Linked DNA regions of Astyanax mexicanus. The protein of the gene in region 1 purifies or fractionates together with the protein of each later gene. This does not show direct contact. Links are inferred from orthologs where the notes say so. Each region holds a gene or a part of one and is shown on either strand. Other genes may lie near its edges.

The links.
Region 2: the proteins of eif2b5 (region 1) and eif2b1 purify together in Homo sapiens (affinity purification with mass spectrometry; 7 studies listed by BioGRID and IntAct, counting the BioPlex papers as one, with this or other methods). This does not show direct contact. The link is inferred for Astyanax mexicanus from reciprocal best matches to the Homo sapiens genes EIF2B5 and EIF2B1.

What each region holds. Positions count from the first base shown.
Region 1 is NC_064415.1:806,002-814,157, reverse strand, and holds the start of eif2b5 (translation initiation factor eIF-2B subunit epsilon), read left to right. Parts: upstream 1-4,909; 5' UTR 4,910-4,912; coding exon 4,913-5,125; intron 5,126-6,595; coding exon 6,596-6,720; intron 6,721-7,061; coding exon 7,062-7,247; intron 7,248-8,156. UniProt on the Homo sapiens protein: Acts as a component of the translation initiation factor 2B (eIF2B) complex, which catalyzes the exchange of GDP for GTP on eukaryotic initiation factor 2 (eIF2) gamma subunit.
Region 2 is NC_064429.1:3,006,394-3,014,258, forward strand, and holds the start of eif2b1 (translation initiation factor eIF-2B subunit alpha), read left to right. Parts: upstream 1-4,860; 5' UTR 4,861-4,985; coding exon 4,986-4,998; intron 4,999-7,481; coding exon 7,482-7,583; intron 7,584-7,852; coding exon 7,853-7,865. Other genes in the region: gtf2h3 (general transcription factor IIH subunit 3), read right to left, coding at 318-347, 472-534, 1,101-1,246, 1,728-1,834, 1,957-2,036, 4,583-4,592.

The DNA.
Region 1 (8,156 bases):
TTCTCTTGTGGTGAGAACATGATCTGGTCTCGATCCGACCCAGATATTAAATATACTCCTTTTATTACAGCTAAACTGCTGATAAGGTGCAGTTTAATCTGATATATTAGCCAGATAACGCTAATTACCACAGCTATGAACAAATGCTGTGTCTGCTGCTCCATGCTGTTTACACACATGGTCTGTGCTGCATTCACTGCTCACGGTCACACGACTATCATTAAAAAACACTGAGTTTAAAAGCACCGACGCACATTTTCAGCATTCTGTGTTAAAACAGATAAATAGATATACACGCTGGAGCACAGAATCTTCACTTTCTTGCTCCTGCGCCAGACAGCTCTGACCAATCAGAGGAGACAATGTGCTTGCGTGGTTTATTGGTGCGTATTTTGGTGCGTTTAGATTTGTGCCTGTGTGAAACCAAACCAAACAGAGGGAGAAACCGAAGCTCCAAACAAACAAATTCATCAACTGATCCGGATCAAAGAAACTTTCACAACTACAGGTGATCTTTCTGGATCTCTCAGCTTGTCCACAAGGGGGCGTTCAAAGCGTGACTTGTATTTACTGCAGTGGAGTAAAAGACTTGTACTGAATTGCACTCCTCACCTGTAGGGGGAGCCCAGGAGCTAAAATACCAAATCCCACATAATACTGCCGCTTCCTAAAGTATGAATCCACATATAATTAGACTATCTGCAGCAAGCAAGGAAATCATCAAGATTTGAAAGTTTTTTTTTTCACAAACAAATCTCTTATGTTAACAAAATGTTAGAGAAAGAATGTATGTAAAATTGTGTGTAGATACAAAATTTAGTAATTTCACTAATTTATTAGCACCACTATGTGAAAACTGATACGTTGTGCTCTCACGGCTTTGGGGCTCCCCCTACAGGTGGGGAATTTAATTCACTTTTTGCTCCACTGCAGTAAATACACATCATGTGGTTACTTTCGCACTAAAACCACTAAAACTACAACTCCCATCATTCAAGCAGACTTGTATGCTGTCAGCATGCATAATCGTTTTCCCAATCATGAACAGTTCATCTGCTCTGCATCACCTGAGTACTAATTCTATACAGCTGTTACTCGTTAGCTTTGTTTGTTTGTTTAAATACTCTTGTGTATTTTGATAACTTTGCAAAGTATTGCCAACTATTCATCACCTTTCATACCTAGTGCTTAATCTAACAGTTTACTCGTGTATGACGTTGACTTTTTTTTTAAACATATAAAACTTGTAAAGGTGGTTGAGTTATATAGTTCAGTAGAAGTGTTCTGATCCAGCAGAGTGGAAATGACCAAGACGCTACTCTCCCCCCGTTACAATATGTGTAAATAAATTAATATCAATAACTACAATCAAACAGTGACTAAATTCCTCTGATCTGTGGAAAATAGATTTACGGCTGTTTTAGTAAATCTGCCCCAAAAGTCAATATATTCACATCAATCCAGTTACAGTATTTAAGCATCCAGTTTTTATAGGTTGAGATGTTTAATCCTGATCAGTGTGCTGTTCTGTATATCCAGCCCTGTATCTCCTGCATGCGCTGAGTTTAGGACCGTACTGATTGGTGGGGGTACTACACGCACCCTCTGATTGGTGAAGGGGCTGTTAAGGTGGAACTGCTCTGTATCTGATGGTACACTGTATGTATGTAGAACTGCTGTAAATATTCCTGCTGATATTTAACCTGCTACCATGAGCCGCACCGTCCAGGTAAACTGGCGCTCTGCCGTTAGAGAACATGATGGAGATTCACTGTTTTGGAATTAAAGACATTTGTTAAGGATCATTCTGCTGGTGTGTTGTTTTGGGTTTACAGTGCTCGTTCTGAGTTAATTTGTTTTGTGTGTGTTTTTATAAAAAGAATGTTTTAATGCCTGCAGAGAACCAGTACCACCACTCTAAAAAATAATGTAAAATAAAAGGATAATTTATACTTTTAAATAACATTTAAAATAACATTCCAGACTAAAGCCAGCAAACTTCACATGAACTAGTATTATTTTTTTCTCCAATTAAACTTAGGGAGTAGGGTGCAAGATATGGTATAGGGAGTAGGGAATAGGGAGTAGGGTATAGGGTATAGGGAGTAGGGTGTGGGATATGATATAGGTAGTAGAGAGTAGGGAATAGGGAGTAGGGTATAGGGTATAGGGAGTAGGGTATAGGGAGTAGGGTGTGAGATATGATATAGGGAGTAGAGAGTAGGGTATAGTGAGTATGGTATGAAGAGTATGCTATAGGGAGTAGGGTATAGGGAGTATGGTATGAAGAGTATGCTATAGGGAGTAGGGTATAGGGAGTATGGTATGAAGAGTATGCTATAGGGAGTATGGTATGAAGAGTATGCTATAGGGAGTATGGTATGAAGAGTATGCTATAGGGAGTAGGGTATAGGGAGTATGGTATGAAGAGTATGCTATATGGAGTATGGTATGAAGAGTATGCTATAGGGAGTAGGATATAGGGAGTATGGTATGAAGAGTATGCTATAGGGAGTATGGTATAGGGAGTAGGGTATAGGGAGTATGGTATGAAGAGTATGCTATAGGGAGTAGGATATAGGGAGTATGGTATGAAGAGTATGCTATAGGGAGTAGATTATGATTATGGGAGTAAGGTGTGAGATATGGATAGGGAGTAGAGTATAGGGAGTAGGGTATATAGAGTATGCTATAGAGAGTAGATTATAATTATAGGGAGTAAGGTTTGACTTAGGGAATAGAGTAGAGGGAATATGAAATAAGGAGTATGGTAAAGGGAGTAAGTTATAATTATAGGAAAGTGTTGCCTCGTGCACATATATGGATTTTATGGGCACATATTTAAAAAAAACTGTTTTTTTTAACACTCTGCTTCACATATAATATATTGTATAAATTTAAAGGCAGCATATGGAATAGGAAGTAGGTCATAGAGAGTAGGGTATAGGTAGTAATTTATAGGGAGTAATTTAAAGGGAATCGGGTATAGGGAGTAGGACACAGGGAGCATGGTATATGTATTAGATTATAGGGAGTATATTATAGGCAGTAGGTTATGGGAAGTAGGGTATAGGGAATAGGATATAGGGAATAGGGAGTAGGTTCTAGGGAATCAGTTATAGGGAACTTAAATGGAGTAGAGTAAGAGAAGTAGGATATAGGGTGTAGGGAGTAACTTTATGATATAGAGAATATGGTAATAGGGAGCATGGTATAGGTATTACATTATAGGTGGTAGGGTATAGGGAGTAATTTAAAGTCAGTAGGGTACAGAGAGTATGTTATAGGGAGTATATAATTGGCAGTATGTTATAAGGAGTAGGGTATAGGGTATACAGAGTATTTTAAGTGGAGTGTGTTAAAGGGTGTAGGTTATAGGGAGGAAGGTATATGGAGTATATTCAGTGGCGGACTTAGCAATTTGGGGGCTCAAGGCGAATTTAGCTTGGGGGCCCATCAATAAAAAAATATTTAAAATGAATAAAAAATAATTAATATAAAATAAAAACTCATTTAAAACACAATCAAAAGCTATCTAATAGTGCGCAGAATAATATCAGTTTCAGTTAGTTTCAGTTTCAAATAATTGAAACAGCTCCCCAAAACCTCAACCTATACTTTATACTTTACAGGTCCTCACTCATCTTAATTTATTTAACTAAACTGAGTTTTCAAATTATTTCTAGCCTCGCGCTGAATTCAGCTCCGCGCTGCGGAAGAGAGAGCGAGAGAGAGCGCGAGAGAGAGCGCGAGAGAGAGCGCGCGGGCAGCGCAGTGCGGCGCGGCGCATTTTGCCTGATTTCTCTTGTTTAAATATCAATAAATATGTGAATTTAATATTTTTTTACTACCATATATTTTACTTCACTTGATAGGATCTTATTTATTATTTTTTTAAAATGCAATGCCGCGCGTGCTTTCCATGTGACTGACGCTAAACTGTTTGATGCAGCTGTTATATTATATTATGTTATATCAATACCATTTTAACGTTTTTCGTTTCTATGTTTTGAAATTCGTTAGATTCTATTTTTGTCAACATTTTGGGTTTTATTTTCGTTTGTTATTTTTCTAATAAAAATAATAGAATTTACATAATTTAAAGTAAGTCAATTACTTTTACTAGTTACATTTATAGTGGGGTAACTCCGTTAGTAACTAGTAAAGTTTAGCCTCTTTTTTCTTTTTTCGCTCACATCCCACTTGTACACTTAATTTCACCTTAATTCCGTCTTTCACAAGCAGCAGTTCGCGGTTCACCGGCATGACCACATGGCATGGATGGAATATTCCATTTTAACGCGAAAGAGAGGGGGTGTGGACAGAATCTGTATTTCTTTGTAATTTATTGTGTTGTCTTTGTTTCCATTTTAAACACACAAGAATCACCATTTATGAATCACTATCTGTGAATTACTGTCCAAAGGGCCCCAATTACCAGCTGTAGGCCAATGGGAATTTGCAGCTAAGTATGGGGCCCCTACAGTGGGCTGCAGTGGGAGGGGCCCAAGGCAGTTGCCTAGCAATGCCTCTATGCAAAGACCGCCTCTGAGTATATTATAAGGATTAGGGTATAGTTAGTAATTAAAAAGGGAGTAGGCTATAGGCAGTATGTTATAGGGAATAGGGTATAGGGAGTATTTTAAATAAAGTGTGTTAAAGGGAGTAGTTTATAGGGAGTAGTGTATAGGGAGTAAATTAAATGGAGTATAGTATATAGAGTGTGTTATATGTATAGGGAGTAATTAATAGGGAGTAGTGTATAGGGAGTAAATTAAATGGAGTATGGTATATAGAGAGTGTTATATTTATAGGGAGTATGGTATAGGGAGTGTGTAATATTTATAGGGAGTATGGTAGAGGGAGTAGGGAACAGGGAGTAGTGTATAGGGTATAGGCAGTATGGCTCTGAATGAGACGCCCCCTAGTCAGGTTCTCTCCGGGGCTCAGCGTGTGTTTTGGATCTCTGTGGCCGGGGTGGAGGGTGAGGATGTCGGCTAAAGCGGGTAAGCAGCGCCGCGGCGGAGCGGAGCCGCAGGATGAGGAGCAGCTGCCGCTGCAGGCGGTTCTGGTGGCGGACAGCTTCAACCGCCGCTTCTTCCCCATCTCCAAGGACCAGCCGCGGGTAAACCCAGCTCTCAGCCCGGGGAGCGCAGCTCTACCGCCCGCCTGCCCTCCGCGCGGGTACCGGCTAGCTTAGCGCGTTAGCTTAGCATAGTTTTTACAGTCATTTTTCCTTATAAAGGGTAACAGGCTAGCTTATCTTAGCATGTTACCTTAGCTTAGTTTTTACAATCATTTTGCCTTATGTTTTGGTATCAGGTTAGCATAGCTTAGCTTAGCATAGTTTTTACCCTCATGTTCCCATATGTACAGTGACAGTTTAGCTTAGCTTAGCTGTAGCTGTAGAATGTTTACCTCATTCAAACTCACGTAAACTTTGACATTATTAAGACTTTATAACTCTTTAAATACTGTTTTAAGCATGTCATTAATGTTATAATAAAGATTAAACTCATTAAATGTGATATATTAGTTTAATACAGAGTCTATTAGCTAAATATGAGTCCAGAATTGCATCAGATAATAAAACACTGTATTATTATTATCATAACTGTAACATATTGTCAGGATTTTATTAGTATACCATTATGGTATTATTAAGTACTATAGGGAATGCGTGTTGATGTGTATAAAACGTTTATTAAAATACAGGTTAAATGATGTGTTTACATGATTCTGGATATATAACTTAGTGTGTTTATGTGCTGGGCTGCAGTCACTGCATGTGGATTACAGTCATTAATATACAGCACTGAACAGTAAATGTAATTAGTTACTGTACTTAAGTATTTTTCTGTGTATTTGTAATTTATTGAAGTAATTTCATATTCATAACTACATTTCAAACTCCGATATCTTGCAGGGTGTACAGTAATCCACTATAGGGGTGTATATGTTGCGTTACGCTGCTTTACATTGCGTTATGTTACTTTATGTTAAGTTGTGTTACGTTATGTTGTGTTATGTTGCTTTATGTTGAGCTATATTACGTTACGTTGCTTTCCATTGTGTTCTGTTATGTTGTGTTACGTTATGTTGTGTTACGTTATGTTGTGTTACGTTATGTTGCGTTACTTTATGTTGCGTTACGTTACGTTACATTATGTTGTGTTACATTATGTTGTGTTACATTATGTTGTGTTACATTATGTTGCGTTACGTTATGTTGCGTTACTTTATGTTGCGTTACGTTACATTATGTTGTGTTACATTATGTTGTGTTACATTATGTTGCGTTACGTTATGTTGCGTTACGTTATGTTGCGTTACTTTATGTTGCGTTACGTTATGTTACGTTACGTTGCATTGCGTAATGTTTAGTTATATTAAGGCAGAGACTGGAATTAGCTGTTGAGGTACAACATGGACTGGAACAGGATCCTGCAGGAAGCAAAGATGAAGAATAATTGTTGATTATTCAACTTATCGAAATAAAGTTGGTCAGATTATTCGAGTACCCGAGTACTGATTAGTTGCAGCAGTTGTTTTTTCCAGCCTCTCTGACTCTGTTCTTCTCCACCTCTTCTTTCAGGCTCTGCTGCCTCTGGCCAACGTCTCCATGATCGACTACACTCTGGAGTTCCTGACGTCCACAGGAGTTCAGGAGACATTCGTCTTCTGCTGCTGGATGTCCAACAAGATCAAAGACCATTTACTGTGAGACACTTTACTGTTCTTACCCTTCACTGTTAATCAGGAGGGCTGTGAGAAAGTAAAATATCCATATTTTAGAGTATCGCAGAGTATTGATTTTTATTCTTTAGATGTAAAGATTGGTGTCAGAAGTGGTTAATTTTGTGTTGTATTTAAGCTCCGCCCACTACATAGTAGTGTTGCGCTATGTTGTTAGATCCCACTGTTCTGATTGGATAAAAAAGTAGGCAGCACTTTCAGCAAAATTGTTGTAAAAAGATTGAATAAATGACACCGAACAAAATCCGACATTTTTTTAAATCCATTTGAAAATCTCACTTTCCATTTTACATTTTGCTCTACAGGAAGTCTAAGTGGTGTCGTCCCACGTCTCCGAACACGGTCCACATCATCACGTCGGACCTTTACCGCTCCCTGGGGGACGTCCTGCGGGACGTGGACGCTAAGTCTCTGGTCCGGTCGGATTTCGTGCTGGTGTACGGTGACGTGGTGTCCAACATCGACCTGTCCCACGCCCTGCAGGAGCACAGGTGAGCGGGACGGGGGGACGGGACGTAGAAGAAGTAGAGTGAGGTATAGAGAGAAGTTGATAGGTAGTAGGGTATAAGGAGTAGGGTACAGAGGGTACAGGAAGTAGGGTATAGTGAGTAAAGTATAGTAAGTAGGATATATGATGTAGAGTATAGGAAGTAGAGTAAAGTATAGAGGGAAGTTGATAGGAAGTAGGGTAGTGTAGGAAGTAGGGTATAAAGAGTAGGGTATAGGGAATGGTTTAAAGGGAATAGGGTATAGGGAGCATATTATAGGGAGCATATTATAGGAAGCATATTGTAATGGTCATATTATAGGGATTAGGGTATATGGAGTGTGGTATAGGAAGTATAGTATGCTATATAGAATAGGTTATAATGGGTAGGGTACAGGCAGTAGGGTACAGAGAATAGGGTACAGGGAGTAGTTAATAGGGAGTAGGGTGCAGAGAGTAGGGTACAGGGAGTAGTTTATAGGGAGTAGGGTGCAGAGAGTAGAGTAGGGCATATAGAGTAGTGTATAGAGAGTCAGATATAGGGAGTACATTATAGAGAGTAAGGTACAGGGATTAGTTTGTAGGGAGTAGGGTGTAGGAAGTAGAGTGAGGTATAGGGAACAGGGTATAGTGAGTAGTGTATAGGGAATATGGTGTAGGAAGTAGAGTAGGGTATAAGAAGTAGGTTACAGTGAGTAGTTTATATGTAGTGGGGTATAGGGAGGAGGTTATAGTGAATATGGTTTGGGGAGTACAGTAAGGGATAAGGAGTAGGGGATTTGAAATAGGGTATAGGAAGTAAAGTACAGGGGGTACATTATAGTGATTATACTGAGTAGTTTACAGGGAGTTAGGTATAAAAAGTAGGTTATAGGGAGTATGTTACAGTGAGTAGGGTATAGGGAGTAAGGTA
Region 2 (7,865 bases), on another chromosome or scaffold:
AGGAAAACAATACGGAATTACCATTACACTTCCCAATCTGATAGCAAAATATGTTTTAAAATGATAATAAAGAAATCATGTGAAAGAAATGAGAAGTGTCAACTTAAGAAAGCACAACAAAGTACTAACTGCTTTTTTTAGAGGAATGTTTCATAAAGTTAGAATATTCTGTATAGGTAGTTTTAAGTCATGTCTATAAAGTAAAAAAGCTTTTGAATGTGGTGATTTCATAAATATTGCCAGGGGGTGGAGAGTTGCCTGCAAATGAAAACATCCAAACACAATGCTTTAAAAATGAATAATTAAAACAAGCTTACCTTCCAGTTCTTTAGAGACTCTGTGAATATCTGAACGTACCCATTTAGAAAAACTCTAAAGATGGCATTTCAGTACAAAAACATGAACTGTGTTTATTAGGAAAACACAATTAGGAATGTATTGCAGGTGTAATTTTTAATTGTTAAAGGATACAGCAGAGAGCTTTGGCGAGAGATCCAGCCAGTAAGGTGTCCGTTTGGTGACCTTTTACCTGTGCTTTAATAGAGAAAAATAAAAAGTTAGGTTTCAGTTTCAGTTAGAAAAATAATTACATCATTAATTTTAGCTCATAATGCTGAATTCACAGTTAAAAATAATCTTAAAGACGAAGAAATTACTGTATTTATGTTGCATAATACGCTGATGAATCTAAATAGATAGATAGATAGATAGATAGATAGATAGACAGATAGATAGATAGATAGATAAATGCATAAATGCTCATGTATCGTAGGAAACTGAGTAGCATTTCTTTATCTAGAGAAATTAATGCCTGTGTCCCGATAAGTGCACTATTTTATCATGCTATTTAGTCTGCAGTTTAAGACACAGTTTCTGTTTGCAGAGGGTGTGGCCATCTTTGAAACCCACCGGCCCACATTATGCAAATCAGTGCATTTCCATAAGCAATGATATTAATGATGTCAACGAGTCTCCCCAGCCCTACTGTCCTTACTATGGCACACATTAACAAAACATTGTAACATACTGAGTAAAATTCCAGTGGATATTCAAATGGAATCTTTGTTTGTATGAAATAATATGTAAGCTGTGTAACTTACTTCTAGCCATGAGATTCCTGATCTCCTCAGCAACGAGATCATTCGCTACAGACAGGAGCTCATATTTGCCATCACCACTGCCAGACGACACCTCATCCCCTGCAACGTCCCCCGCTTTCCAGTGCTTGTTTGGGTACAGAAAGTGACTTCAGGAGGAAAGGAGAGATGAAATCAAGATACACCTTTCAATCCCAGCTTCCTATCTGAATATTCTTTTACTAACAACAGGCATTCAGTTAAGTATACACAGATTGTCTAATTCTTACAGAAAAGCATCGCTAACAGCCTTTGCTAATGCTATGTCATTTTCAGATTTAAACACTCTAGACTATCAATTTCCACCAAGACTTCTCAGCTGTAAAATGTTTTGATAGCATTTACAGCCAAAAACAAAAAAAAAATAAGACAGGTTTACAGTGTTTTTTTTTATCAAAACATAAAGAAATGTTTTAAGTATGAATGCTGTGCCAAGGTCCTGGACAATGTTTACTGACAAACAGCAATGTCATACATTTAGATCTATGAATTTATTGTTATATTTTGTTCACCTGTAGTAATGACAAATCATCATGATTAAAACTAGCCATCAACTTCAGGGTACTCCCTAGTCCCACATCCACATCTTACCTCTCCTGACAATGGCTGGCAATGATGGCCAGTTTGTTGGTTCTGGTCATAACCAAGTGAGAGTTTGCCATGACCATCACAGCATCCAGGCATTTTGAGAGATTAAACTAAGAAAAATGAAAACAAGTTAAGGTTAGCTGAAAGAACACACGCACACAAACACAAACACACACACACACACACACACACACACACACACACACACACACACAAACACACACACACCTACCTCAGGTTCTCTCTGTGCCTGCTGACCCCACCAAATTGGGTTGACATCCACCACAATTACCAGAAGACTGACCTCATCTTCTGTAGACCAAAAGACATAGATATATTAATAAAAGCTACAATCCAGATAACTGCTCATCGCTCAGCATCTGTTAACCCTCTGTTTACCTTTACTGATATATGGCAGTGAAAGTAAATCTCACTGCTTTTCTGTGATTAAAAGGAAATTTCACTGTATATTAATTGCTACTGAACAGATGGCCTGATGTTTAGACACTAAGTTAAATGGAAGAGCTGATGTTAGGCTCTGTACAGTGAAGGAAAGGCCTGATATTTAGACGTGTTGTGCATGGTGTTCAGCTCTGCATGAACATAGCAATCAGTCCCTGTGTCAAACAATCCTTAGGTGTCCCAAAGTCTCTGAGAAGGTATAGGAGTAGAAAAGAGTAGATGAAAAAGTCTACTGGCCTGTGTACAATGGAATGTGAACAAAAGGTCTGATGTTTAGACTCTGTATATTAAATTAAAGGCCTGATGTTGAGATTGCGTACACTGAATAAAAGACCTGATATTTAGACTGGACTGTATGTTAAAGGAAGGGTCTGATTGTTAGACTCTGTATGCTGAAGAAATGGTCTGATGTTTAGAATCGTACATTGAACAAAAGGCCTGATGTTTAGAGTCTGTATGGATGTGTGATTTAAGATTAACATTTCTGGTGATAACTACAATAACATCACTGTACAGTCTATGAAAACATCTTTAGATCTATAAAAGAAAAGCAATCACTTGCAATGTGCCACTATACATCACAACAAGACTCAATATTAATGTAAACGATCAGGTACCATATGTGTTTAATGAACTGGAGGTACATTTTTACTATCCAGACTATATTACCAAGATTATTCACTTGCCTGCATTTCGTTTAGAGATGTAAGGCTTGGACAGAGCTGCTAAGCAATGGAAACCCATTGCATGAAGCTCTCTAAACTCTGTTTTTGAGCTAATCTGAAGTTACATGAAGTTTGGAGGTGTGTAGTCATGTGGTTCCTCTGTGCACTATACTCTATATAGCATCCACTGACCCCGCTCTGTTATTTTACACTGACAGAGCACAGAGTCGCTGTCATTCCCAGTCTCTTCCACTGTGTTATAATATTACTAGCAGTTGGCTGTGGAATATATTTAGTAGTGAGGAAATTTCACGACTGGACTTGTTGCACAGGTGCTGCCTCCGTTTACTGTACCACGCTGGAGTTCACTGAGCTCCTTTATAGAACAGTCTGCATGCCAAGCTGCTTGTTTTTTTAACCAAACCTGTGGCCAATGTGTGAGTGAACGGTTTTGGCAACGTAGTGTATATATCTACCCAAATGTCCAGTTTTTATTCATAAGAAACAGAAGGCTGACTAAGGCTAAAAGGATTTTGTTTAGCTGTGGAAGAAGAGGCAGAGTCAGAGCTGTTAGTAGATAAAGTAGAAAAGGAGGCTGGACAGTAGCTAAATAAGAAAAGGGAGAGGTCAGAAGACAAACCTTCTCATTCAGTGTTTTTATTTCTTTCTTTATGTAATTTATGTTCGACAGTAGATTAATATTAAACACACGAAAACAATTAAGGGATACATATGGAATTACGTAATAAACAGTAAAAAAAACCCTGATCTAATCCTGATCAACTTCAAATCAATTCAATTAAAATTTTATAAATATAGCACTTTTTACAACAAATGTGGTCACAAAGCAGCTTTACAAAGAAAAAAAGGTCTACGCCTCTTATTAGGGAGCACCACAGAGATGCCAATAATTGTGGCGACAACAGGGGCAAGGAAACACTCCCTTACATTATGAGGAAGAAACCTTAGCAAGAACCAAGACTCAGTCAGAGTCTACTCGGTTTGACCCGCTCAGTACAAAACATTAACAAATAACAAACAAATAACAGAACAAAACAACAGTACAGTACAGAGAGATAACGTTGTGGAGCTATTGCTAATGTAAAACAGGTTCTGAGTTCTAAATGTGAGTAGATCTTGTCTCTAGTTTTGCCCAAGAACTCTTATTGACATAGCACAGCATTTTAGTCACCCAGACCTGTTTCCCACACATGATGTGGTAGCTTACTAGAAGGTAGTGGTGTTATCCACTGCGCCACACTAACCACCTCCAGGAACTCCTTTAAAACGCTGAGAAAACTATTCCAGGTGACTATAGCTCATGAAGACACTGAGATTAAAATACCAAGAGTGTGCAGTTAAAAAAATATATTATTTTATTTAAGTTCTATTTGTATTTTTTTTATTCATTTGTGAAGCACTTTGAATGACCGTCGTGTATGAAAGGTGCTATATAAATAAACTTGCCTTGCCTTGGTATTTGACTGTATTTTATAAAAACCGGAGAGCCCTCTCACAGTGCAGCAGCTCTACAGCGCTAGGCTAAGCTAGCTAACTTTAGCAAATGTAAGTAACTAGGTCCGCTATCTAGAGTAGCCAAAAGCAAGGTTCGCAGCGGGTATTTAACTGTATTTAAACTAATTAACTGTATCTGTACTGCCTCCTCCCCGGTGATCCTGTAGCTCAGTTTTAGCTCGGGTTATTTCTGTTAAACGGAGCCGGTTCTCTCACCTGAGGCCATCGCTTCCTCCAGAGCTCGCTCGCGCCGGTTGTTGTCATGTGTGACGTGATCATTAGGGGACGGCTGGGTGAGTGGATTCACGCTGAGTTGTGTGGAGCTGATTTTTAGTACTACAGGAATTACAGGATAAACCCTGATCCTGCAGCCCGCTTTCTACTGTACTGTACTGTACTGTACCTCCGCTGTACTTCTGATCTGTGCGCTGTAGTGAAGCCGCTGCTCCAGAGCGCGGGGACTGCCGGGCGTTGCGTCAGCATCAGCAGCGTGCTGTGGACCTGCTGTGGAACTGGTGTTGAACCCAGGGCAGGTTACAGGTCTGATCACTGAACCCTGACCCTGATCCTGCTCTTTACCACATTTTCATCTTCACACCAGAGGAGTGGACTTTGCGGGATGGATGAAGGGGGTATGTTCTGTTCTGCTTCTCTGTCGTTGACTTGTGATTTTTGTTTTGTTTTCATCCACAGTGATCAAATGTCAACCTGTTCATTACTGTGTTTCTGAGTTCTGACACAAAAAATAACGTTTAATCTACTTAAGCTACATGTGAAGAAAAAAAAACTGATTAAACTGACACACACACCTACGGAGCCCCTGAAGGGACATTGTGTATTTTCTTTTACGTTAAAAAGTGTTGAGCAACACATTCAGTGGTGGAAGTTTTCAGAGGGGAATGATTCAGTTAGGTACCTATAGGTAGCTGTAAGCCCAGAGTTATCAATAGCCAGCTAGCTAACTCTTATTAGAAGTGCACAAAGAAGGTATCATTTTGTAGTAAAAGGCACTAGCTACATGTGAGAAAAAAACTGAGTAAAACTGATACACACCAGTTGAAAACCAGTAAATTGGAATTATTAAAAAAAATATATGTAATATTTGTATAAGTACATATAAACTTTTAGGTAAGAGTGTGTCTTATTTTAGCCCAATTTAGCCATATGTTTTTACATACATGAAAAGTAGCATAAAAAGTTTGAGTACCCTTGGTCAGAATATGTTATGATAAAGAGCAGGTTGTGGAATTAAGGAAGAAAATGGTGGAGGTCATTAATAAATTAAAATTGTAGTGTATGTAGTTTGGTTTGTTGCCTCGTCTAAGGTGGCCACTGGCAGTTTATGATATTCCGATTTCTGAGGTTGAGAGGTTAGAAAGGGTTATGAACAAGGCTATAAGGACATGGGGTTGTCGTGTTGCCTCAGTAATGGCGTGGTGTGGGAGAGGAGTGCTGGAACTGCCATTGACGAGCTTGGTTGAGGAGTTCAAATGTGCTAAGGTAGGATGTGAGATGCAGTTTTTAGGGTCAAAAGACGGGCAGTTTAAAGCAATGGCAGCAGTGACTAGGTCAGGGAGAAAGTGGAATCCTCGAGAAGCAAGAAGTGCAAAATGAGTAAACAGGGGCAGTGGATGAGATGGGAAAGTGTAGAGAAGCGGAGAATCACCTGGCGAGAGTTATGCGAGAAGTTTCTTTTGGGAGCTACATATGATGTTTTGCCAATGCCACAAAACCTTGCTCAGTGGGTGGGTGAGGATCCAAGTTATAAGTTTCGTGCAGGAAGTGGCACGCTGAAGCACATTTTGTCGGCATGTAAGGTGAGCCTGTTTCAGGGGCGATACACATGGAGGCATAATCAGGTATATCTTTTGCGGGTGAACTTGATAAGAAGCGGTTAGAAGTTAATAACATGTTGGAGGTTGGTTGCAGTAGGGTAATTATGTTTGTGAGTGGGGAGCAGCATAGTGGAGAAAGAGCACAGTGCTTGAAAACTGCTGGTAAATGGGCTGATGCACGAGATTGGAAGTTGTTAGTGGATGTAGGTAGTAAGCTGCAGATTCCTTGAGGAATCTCCAGTACCTTAAGGCAAAGTAAAGTGAAAGTAAGCGGGTAGTGTATTTTATAGAGCTGACTGTTCCGTTTGAAGATGAGGTAGATGGAGCTTATGAAAGGAAAAGGTTAAAGAATGCAGAATTGGTGGCTGAGGTAAGAGAGCGTAGGTGGCAAGCATTAGACCGGTGGAGGTAGGTGCTAATGGTTTTGTGGCAAATTCTGCAACAAGACTGCTGTCTGAGTTCATAATTAGAGGTTGTGTGCTGAGGACAGTTGTGGAGGAGTTGTCAGAGGTAGCTGAAAGATCTAGTTAATGGTTGTGGTTCAGAAGGGCTGAGGTTAGGTAGGAAAGGGAATGTGTTTGAAGGTGCTTCAACAGCAAGCTTGGAGGGGGGTGGGGGTGGGTCTGGGACGGCAAACACTGATGAAGGAAGGTGCCTACCTGACGACCCCTGAGAAGAGCTTGCTCTGAAGTTTGTGTTTTAAAATATGGGAATGGGCTGGGTGTGAGTGCTAGGTGTGGTCTTTCTTGCTGGTCTTGTTGTAGTTTCACACCTGTTGGCTCCCCTGGACTGTACGGCAGGAGGGAGGTGAAATAGGTGAGCAGAATAGGTCAAGCTGGTCTAGAGAGTGTCCTGCTCAGTCTAGTGGCACTCTTCACTCTACTCTCTACTCTGTTCTCCACTAACCTGCTCATGGACCACAAGTCCAGTAGCAATGCTCAAGTCTTTTCGAGTGGGCAACATGCATCTAAGGGTAACTACACCAGGAGCACGTTCAAGCCTGAGTCCTATTAACTTATTTTCGGAAAAAAGTTTCTGCTTAGAACTCAAAATAAAATTGATTTGTGTGCTATTGTGTTCATAAAGTGTGCTGTGGTTGGTTGTTGTCTGCTCAAATATGTGCTAGTGTATACACTGGTGACCTACATGAAAAGGAATTGAGCCTATTCCACGTGCTTTTAATTTGAGAAGTATTGTGTTCATTATTTTAGACATGGCATTTAATTATAAGTGAGGGTTGATTTTAAACATATTGCTCCTCTGGTGATTTTTGACTGCAGAGTTGGTGGAGTATTTTAGGACGCAGATGAGCCAGGATCCTGATGTGGCCTCTGCTGTAGCTGCCATACGTTCACTTCTGGAGTTCCTGAAGCGAGATCAGAGTAAGTTACAATAATTACATTATCGAGTTCTGGCTGAAAGATTGAAACTGAAAGACAAATGTTTCAAGGATTAATTTTTTGTGTCACCAAAGATCTAACATAGACCTAAACGTTTATTTGCTCAAATATCTAACTAACTTGACTCTGATTATAGTTGCATCTTGCAAGTAGGTCTGTTTGCCTCTGCTGTCTTTGATTCATTGTATGATGCAATAAATTGTATTAATTTTGGGAAATAATATTTATCTGGATGATTTGCTGTTTTACAGGTGAGACCATCCT